Linked DNA regions of Kluyveromyces lactis. The protein of the gene in region 2 purifies or fractionates together with the protein of the main gene of each other region. This does not show direct contact. Links are inferred from orthologs where the notes say so. Each region holds a gene or a part of one and is shown on either strand. Other genes may lie near its edges.

Region 1 (4,592 bases), on a different chromosome or scaffold from region 2:
TTGGACGCATCATTTGATTCGTCATTTGGTTCATCATTTGGTTCATCATTTGATGCCTCTTGATGCCGAGAAGCACCGGTAGACGAACCTTGTCCGACTGCTTCGTCATACGACGGAAGAATACCTGATTGTTTAACTGACGCTGCCATTATAGAATGTTGGGTCACGTGCCTAACAGCCAACGGCTCCTTCCAACCTTTCTTCCATGCATCTAGTTAGACATCTGGCTTATGCGTGTCTTATATATCCATGACTCGTCTAGCAGATGAGTGAACCATCATATCCACGCAATAACATGCAAATCCACGGCTCTAAGGTGGAAAAAGGAACCCTAAATGGTGTATAGTAATGGTGGCTTCAAGGGTATAAACCATTGGACTTAATAGCAACGGCCGGTAAATTTGCTGATTCAAAGCCTCGAACGATTTTCGTTACCCGGAAAACACAATGACCGGGTAACACTTCACGTCTTTTCAGTCCAGAAGCCCAATCGCGAAAAGCGATGGGCTTCTGGACGAGCGCAGTAAATATGTGCACATTAACGCATCAAGATAGGCACTGTTTGCCTCTCTATATATGCTCATAGTATTTGATATACACGCAACAATAGCACATAACAATGAGTAGTTGGCTATCGGAGTCACAGCGTATGTTAAACCATGTATGCGTTTACTATTATTTTTGGTTTCCCTTTACTAACATTTGTTATTTGAGATCGGCCAGTAAACTCATGCGAACATAAGGGAAATAGAAAGACGGATTGTTCAATCCGTCTTTCTATCTCACTTTTGTTACAGTACTTGCCAAAATCTTGAAATCCCACTTATCTCCCCAGAATTCGGTGCTGTGTTCACGTTCGGTGGATGTTTGTTCTTCCTTTTTGGTATCTTCACCTTCTTCGATAGAGCACTATTGGCTGTTGGGAACATCTTGTTCCTACTCGGCGTGCTGCTGATGATAGGCCCACACAAGACTCTCAAATTCTTCACTAGACCGACAAAGAGACGTGGGACCTTGTTTCTCGTGTTTGGGATATTCATGATCTTATGTAAGTGGACGTTCCTTGGGTTCATCATCGAATCGTTAGGTATAGTCGGTCTATTCGGCGACTTTTTCGGCGTGATCCTCCAATTGCTGAGGTCCATTCCTATAATCGGACCAGTACTGTCTCACCCTACCATTGCACCAGTCCTAGACCGTATAGCTGGTGTGTCAGTGCTTCCTGTGTGATGTGTGAGTGTGTGTATCTATATATATATGAGCTGTATTCGGGAATGGTTACCCTGTCCAAAATATGTCGATTACCCTACCTGAATATACCTCTAAATAAACAAAACCAAAAAGCTCCCAGAACCAGTTTAAGTTGTGTTCAGAGATTTATAACGATAATATACGGCATTAAACACAGCTTTTAAGGATCAAATTGGCGTTTTGGGCCATTAGACAAGCCAATTGGGTTAGGTTCGATTGTTATTCATTAAATCAGAGACTTTGTGGGGTGAATTTTGTGTGTCTCTGTCGCATTCTTTTTGATTTCTACAGTTCCGAAACTGCAAAATAAGAAAAGCCTTTTAGAAGTTTAGATCAAAGGAATCAAAATGACGCTCCATAGCAAGAGCGGTGACGATGAATCTGGCACTCATACTGAGTTTTACGATGATAATGGGATTGCTCATACCACACCGAGGCTGCTGAAAAAAGTTAACTACGCAGAGATTGAGAATGGTTACGATTATATCGAGGAATCTGATACGAATTCTGGAGGAACAGCCGCCGTTGGTGCTAACTATTCAGATACCGGTACTGGTAGGCGTCGTGGTAGGCGTCCCGGTCAGAGGAACAAGAGGGTTCGTGATGATGACGACGATGATGACGTTTCGTTCCACGAGGAAGATGTAGACGATGATGACGATGACGACGACGATGTTGATGACGGCGATGAGTATATCGACCCAGCAGATGATCGCAAACGGATAGCGAGAAGAAGAGATAAAAATTTCATTGTCAAGGACGATGAGGATGGATCTGATGGGAATGAAGATTATAGTATCAAGGAAGAGGATCTGGATGAAGATGAAGATGATGGAGATGAGGATGAAGAGGATGACGATGGTACTGTGAGACGTGGAAGAAGACCAAAACGGTCTGCAGCAAGAAGTACGCGTAGGGAACAGCCTCCTCGGAAGTTAAGGCCGCATAGAACCAGATCGTCTCGTGTTGTAGATGACGATGAAGACGACGATGATACGGTAGGTAGCGGTCGTCATAGATCGGCAAGTGCACGTACTAGAGAAGCGCTTACACTTGAGGACGAAATTAGAGAATTACAGGAGGACAGTCCTATCAGAGAGAAAAGGTCTTTGAGAGAACGTACAAAACCAGTAAATTACACGATCCCACCACCTTTGTCTGAAAATCAAATTGGTGCTATGGAAGCTACTTCGGTGCCAGGAATACCTCCAGGAACACTTCCATACCAATCATCCGTTTATCAGTCCCCAAGAGGTAAACGTGGTTTACATTCGGGTCAAAGTTTTGGACCTATTAGAAGGTTATTCCCTACCGGTGGTCCATTTGGTGGAAACGATGTTACGGCGATATTTGGTAAAAACGTTCAATTCTACAACTCTAATCCAAACGCTCTAAACGAACAGTCAAACAAATTTTTGGATTCTGATTCATCCGATGACGAAATCTTAGCTTTGGGTATGAAACCGAAACCAAAGGATCCATCAAAACAAAAGAAGAAAAAGAAACCGGAAATTGCAGATTTGGACCCACTTGGTGTCGATATGAACATTAATTTTGATGATGTCGGTGGTCTAGATAACTACATTGACCAATTAAAGGAGATGGTGGCATTGCCATTGTTGTACCCAGAACTTTATCAAAACTTCAATATTACTCCACCTCGTGGTGTCTTGTTCCATGGCCCACCAGGTACAGGTAAGACTTTGATGGCTAGAGCATTGGCCGCAAGTTGCTCAAATGAGAAGAGAAAGATCACTTTCTTCATGAGGAAGGGTGCTGACATTCTTTCCAAATGGGTTGGTGAAGCTGAAAGACAATTAAGGTTATTGTTTGAAGAAGCAAAGAAACATCAACCGGCAATCATTTTCTTTGATGAAATTGATGGGTTGGCTCCAGTTAGATCTTCCAAACAGGAACAAATCCATGCCAGTATCGTGTCGACAATGTTGGCATTGATGGATGGTATGGATAATAGAGGTCAGATTATTATAATCGGTGCTACGAATAGACCAGATGCAGTGGATCCTGCTTTAAGAAGACCAGGTAGATTTGACCGTGAGTTCTATTTCCCTCTACCAGACTTGAAGGCTAGAGATAAAATTTTGCATATTCACACCAAGAAATGGAATCCACCTATTTCAGATCAATTTATTTCAAAGCTAGCCTCCTTAACTAAAGGATACGGTGGTGCTGACTTAAGAGCACTTTGTACAGAAGCATCTTTGATCAGTATCCAAAGAAAGTTTCCACAAATCTATAAAAGTGAAGAAAAGCTAAAGATTGATCCTAAATCAGTTAGAGTCAAGGCTAGAGACTTCATGCTTGCACTAGAAAAGATTGTACCATCATCTGCTAGAGCTACTGGCTCTACAGCGCAGCCTTTACCAAAATATGTTGAACCGCTCCTCGCTCAACAATTTATTAACGTCAAGGATCAGCTCAACTTACTACTACCCAAGCAAAGCACAAAATTGAAATCGGGTTCCTCCATTATTCAATATTACTTAGAAAATGAGGATCTTGAGGATTCTGATGACGAAGAAGGTACTGGATTCGATAAGCATGAATTTTTAAAACTTATCAAGAAATCTCGTGTCTGCAAACCGAAACTTTTGATCACAGGCCCGCCCGGTAACGGGTTACAATATATCGCTTCCGCCACACTACACTTTTTGGAAGATTACAATATTCAAATGCTTGACATTCCTACCTTGGTATCGGAGAGTAGTAGAACGATGGAAGCAGCACTTGTACAAACATTCGCGGAGGCTAAGAAGCGTCAACCCTCTGTAATTTGCATACCAAACTTAGAATTATGGCTCCAAGCCTGTCCCCAAAGTTGTCTCATCACTTTAACCACTCTTTTCAGATCATTGCAGAGTAATGAAAACGTGGTTTTACTAGCTATCGCTGACGGCTTATCTCGCGCTGAAATTGAGGACGGTCCACTTGCAATGTTTTCCTTTGGGCCCAACATAGTGAACATTAACGAACCCTCCCCTCATCAAAGGTTTATGTATTTCAAAACCGTAGCTGATCTTATTAAGATGAAACCGACTCAATACATTGAATCGAGGAAAAGGAAGAAGCCACTTCCAAAATTACCTGTCGTCGAAACCTCACAGGAAATAGATGAGAATGGCAGACTTTTAACAGAAGAGGAGAAATTGAGACTGGAATTGAAAAAGTTCCAACACCAAGACATGAAATTAAAGAACACCTTGAAAATAAAGCTTTCTGGTTTAATGGATCTTTTCAAGAATCGTTACAAGAGGTTCAGGAAACCTCCTATTGATGATACGTTCTTGATTCACTTATTTGAGCCTGAAACCTTTGCTGCC
Region 2 (4,384 bases):
TATTTATACTAGTTTGTGGTGGGGTAGTTGACGAAAGTGGTATTGATTCGAAATTAACGACCGATGATGATGGAAAACACTGTTACTCAGTGATTATTGAAGATTTAAATGAAGAAATTTACTTATTAATCGGGGCAGTATACGTAATACGTTATAGTGTAATACGAGATCTCATGACTGAGGGACGAGTAGTTTTAATATAATGAAAATTCTGAACAGTATTACTGAACCTATGACTCTTCGAAAAATATAGGTTTGTAACGAATGTTTGCCAGCAATAATTTCTCAACAATGTTATTGCGAACACAGCATGTTTTCTACCTAGTGTTATTGACTGCTGGTCTATAGTGCTTTTGAACCAATTTGTATTAGTATTACATCAATTAACGTTGAAAAGTCTATCTAGCATACTCAAAGTGTACCTATTTTTCATATTTACTGTATGCAAAACCCATCCGGCAAGCATATGATCAGCTCAGAGAAATCCTTCAATATCTGGTTTCTGGGCTTGGGCAAGCTTAGCCCTTTTGGTTGTCTGCGGTTGAGATTGAGATAACGACACTGAATGTATTCTTTTCAATCCTGTAGTCGAGTTCATCTCAACGACAGAATCTAATTCCTCGATATTTTGCGAGTTGGCATCTATGTTACTGGAAGAGGACTGGTTTATATTAGATTTGGCATGTTGTGATGATCTAGACTTCATAAATTCCATAAACTTAGGGACTAAAGCTAACTCCTCCTGTGTCTGTTTATGTAGAAGTGTCTTGTTTGTTTTCTCATTGGTATCCAGCTTCCCCTCGTGGAACAAACCAGTGGTATCATTGAACTCAAGCTGGAAAGAAACAGTGACATCATTGATTTTATCCCATATAATTTGGATTTCATCGCCATCATGAAGTAAGATCTTTGTGCCCGGAGTGATTTTCTTTCCATTAACATAGCTTGAGTTAGTACCACTTTGGCAATACCATACATCATCAAGACCTTGAGCTGGAGATTCATAAATACTGTCACCGACAGCGTGTCTTTTCTTCAATATGAAGCAATGTATCCTAGATAAACGATTATCATCAATTTTACAGTTGCATTCGTCTGACCTACCGATGAAGAATGGATTTATCCCTTGTTTTACTTGGACCTTACCTGAAATAGATGAGCCAGGTAAGGAATGCAAAGTGAGAAATAGCCCCTCCCCATTGACCTTTGTAAGTGGTCTATTGATCTTTTTGTTCTTATTGTTTGAAAGTCCTTCTTCACCAGATTTATAATTAACATTAATAGCTTTACCAGTATTAGGATTTGAAAAGTTAAACTGCAAGTTTTGGGATTGTGCAATTTTAGATGGTGCAATTTGTGGTTTTTTGAATACAGGCTCTTTATTAGTTTCTGCAGCAGGCGCCGTTATTTCTTTCTTGATAATCTCTAACCTCTTTTTCGCAATGTATGATTCGTATTCAGCCTCATTCATACTGTCAACAAATTGTTGCTGGGACAAGGATTGTGAGATGGATATTTGTGACTGCATGCTATCAACGTATGCCATTTTCATCCATGGATGTTGCAGGGCCTTTCCTGCGTTCATTCTTTCTTTAGGGTCCACATTCAACAGGCAATCTATGAAGTTTCTTGCCTCTTCGGATATTCTATAATCCTTTAATGGTCCTTCATGATAAGAGCCCCGTTTTATTTGCTTGAACAATTCATTCTGAGACTGACCACTAAAAGGCAAGTGACCTGTAAGAATAACGTAAACTAGGCATCCAATTGACCACATATCAACAAGTGAGGAATACAGATCTCGATTAGTTTTATCTTCAGCATTTTTCCCGTCTATAACTTCAGGTGCAACATATGCTAGAGTACCACAAAAAGTGTTCAGGAATGTATTCTGATTTTGTACTTTTGCCAGGCCAAAATCGGTTATCTTTATAAGAACTGGATCGTCTTGCTCTATCATTATATTATCAGGTTTCAAGTCTCGATGGCTAATTCCTTGATCATGCATGTATTTTACTGCCTCTAAAACCTGTCGTGTTATCTCTCTGCCGGCATCCTCGCCTACAGTTCCATGGGCTGCTACGAAATCCATTAAATCGCCTCCGCTGACAAACTCCATCAACATGTAATAATTATCATTGTCTTCAAAAAAGTCCTTAAGTTTAACTATCCTGGGGTGATTTAATTTCTGCAATACATCTAGTTCCCTCTTCACTCCATCAAATTTATCCATTACTTTTCTCTTATGAATTATTTTGACCGCAAATGTTTTGCCTGTTGACCTTTCGACAGCTTTCTTCACAGTAGCGAAAGCACCTTGACCAACAATCGAATCTGATATCGAATAGTATTTGTGTATTCCTTTTAATTCTGTATGTCCCATTGATATCTGATATTTGCTCTTTGAAGATGAAGCAGGTGAAGTCACATCCTTCATCATATTGAGTTCTTTTAGTCTATTTTTGAAACTATCGTTGATGAAAATCACTAAACTAACGACATCGCTGGGAACGCCGACTCCAACACTTATTTCATCCCCTTGGGTCAAGATGTGATTCGTATCCTTTTGTATCCTCGCTCCATTTAACCATGTTCCATTGGTTGATGTATCCTTCAGCATTAAAGTTCCTTCTTCACCCAGCATTAGCATAAAGTGTCTGTTGGACAGTCTTGAAATATCCCCCAGATAATAATCACATCCTTGGTTTCTTCCAAAGGTCCATGTTTTTTTAATTGATGATTCCTTTTTGAATATACTTTCAGGTTGAACCTTCAAGTCCCGTAGACTTATTTGACCAGTTGTACATATTACTCTGCACACCACATCGTCGTCTATTTTCTCCTGAGAAAACTTATCTATTAGGTACTTCTGTGTAGCCTGAGTGGCTTGTTGTGTCGGTTGCGTTATATCATCCATGTCAATATCTTCGTTTGCACAGCAATGATCAGTTGATCTCTAAAGAGGCTGGGAAAGGTAACGGCAAACCTCAAAGGGACAACTTAATGCCTCAATATAGAACGATTTTCACAAGTGTGCTATTCTATAGTCGGTTGTGACTGTGTATACCCACTAAACTGCCAACACAAAGCTAATGAATAATGGAATAAATCGTTCTTTCATAATGTGTATGATCGCTTTTGCAATTCAAAGATCCAGATTATTTCAGAAAAATGTCAACCTTTAAATCGCGTAAATATTCGATGAACATTAAATATTACAATGACGCGTAAAAGTACATACATATATACAAAGCCAATGATCAAAGATGGATCAGTCTTTACTCGGCACTGCTACAACGTTGGAGTGGGAATTTGAGTAAATAGAACGGAATCATTGATAGAAGTTCTATTATGGCACATTGCGGCATCAGGTGATTGGTGCCGAATCTTCTTCAGAACTATGTGAAGCCGGTTTATACTGCAACAATCCATATGGCATCAATTAGTAAATACCATGGTTGAATAACTTGTATCAGCTGTTTCTTATTCTAACTCCAGTCATGCTACAAAGACTTTAAAATCTTTACTTATCAATAGATGGAAGTAAAGATTATAAATCGATATGGTTGCTATCAAGCATAACACTCCGAATTTTCAGAAATTCTTTGCATTTTGCTCATATAACGTTATTGTATTTGAACTGTTAGAGCCTTTTCTTGAAAAAACTAGGTTCTATTCATGTTTAAAACATTCGTTAAGACAATTCCCCATAACCGATTGAAGAAATGATATATATAAGTTTTCGTTTTATTAATACTGCAATAATGTCCTTCAACGAGATAGCTATGTAGTAAAATTATATATCAGCTTTGATCTACTGGTGAAGGTTCAAATCATACCGTCAACTTTAACCGTAATGTTACGGTAAATAACAAAATCGTAAATTATTAATCTCACATACCTCCATAACGTTATGTTAAGTTTCTTACCATTCTATCTGCTAATTAAATGACCTGTTCCCAGAATCAGGACTGGATAAAAAGTCTACTACATCCGTTAGTTTTTCCCAAGGAAACCCTTTAAATACAAGAGCCGGGCTCAGTAGTCTTTCGCGTCAGATTTTGAAGTCTATTTATATTTACTACTAGTTCATAAATTGGACATTGTATAGGAAAGATGCATTCCTCTACATAATATTTTTGTTAAATTAACTACCCATCATTACTTCCCTAAAACCATGTAAACTGATAGGTATGGTGCATACCAGTACAATTGGCAACAGCTTGCAACGTTAAGATTCAGTGATCTCAATTAAATTACGATTTTGACAGTTTTATTTTAAGGGAAAAAGTTGCTTTAAAACAGGAAAACGACATCAGGCAATGTTTTGCCTCAGTAAACAAAGATACAATTAATCGACAAAAGCTGGGCAGGTTCATTTTTT

The links.
Region 1: the proteins of RAD53 (region 2) and YTA7 purify together in Saccharomyces cerevisiae (affinity purification with mass spectrometry, with the first as the bait; 3 studies listed by BioGRID). This does not show direct contact. The link is inferred for Kluyveromyces lactis from reciprocal best matches to the Saccharomyces cerevisiae genes RAD53 and YTA7.

What each region holds. Positions count from the first base shown.
Region 1 is NC_006037.1:856,860-861,451, forward strand, and holds the start of YTA7 (chromatin segregase YTA7), read left to right. Parts: upstream 1-1,598; coding exon 1,599-4,592. Other genes in the region: KLLA0_A09779g (uncharacterized protein), read right to left, coding at 1-149; GOT1 (Got1p), read left to right, coding at 620-647, 836-1,230. UniProt on the Saccharomyces cerevisiae protein: Functions as an ATP-dependent nucleosome disassembly factor that helps evict canonical histone H3 from the 5'-end of genes upon their induction.
Region 2 is NC_006042.1:1,025,654-1,030,037, forward strand, and holds RAD53 (serine/threonine/tyrosine protein kinase RAD53), read right to left. Parts: upstream 2,918-4,384; coding exon 476-2,917; downstream 1-475. Other genes in the region: DNA replication protein SLD5, read left to right, coding at 1-203. UniProt on the Saccharomyces cerevisiae protein: Controls S-phase checkpoint as well as G1 and G2 DNA damage checkpoints. Phosphorylates proteins on serine, threonine, and tyrosine. Prevents entry into anaphase and mitotic exit after DNA damage via regulation of the Polo kinase CDC5.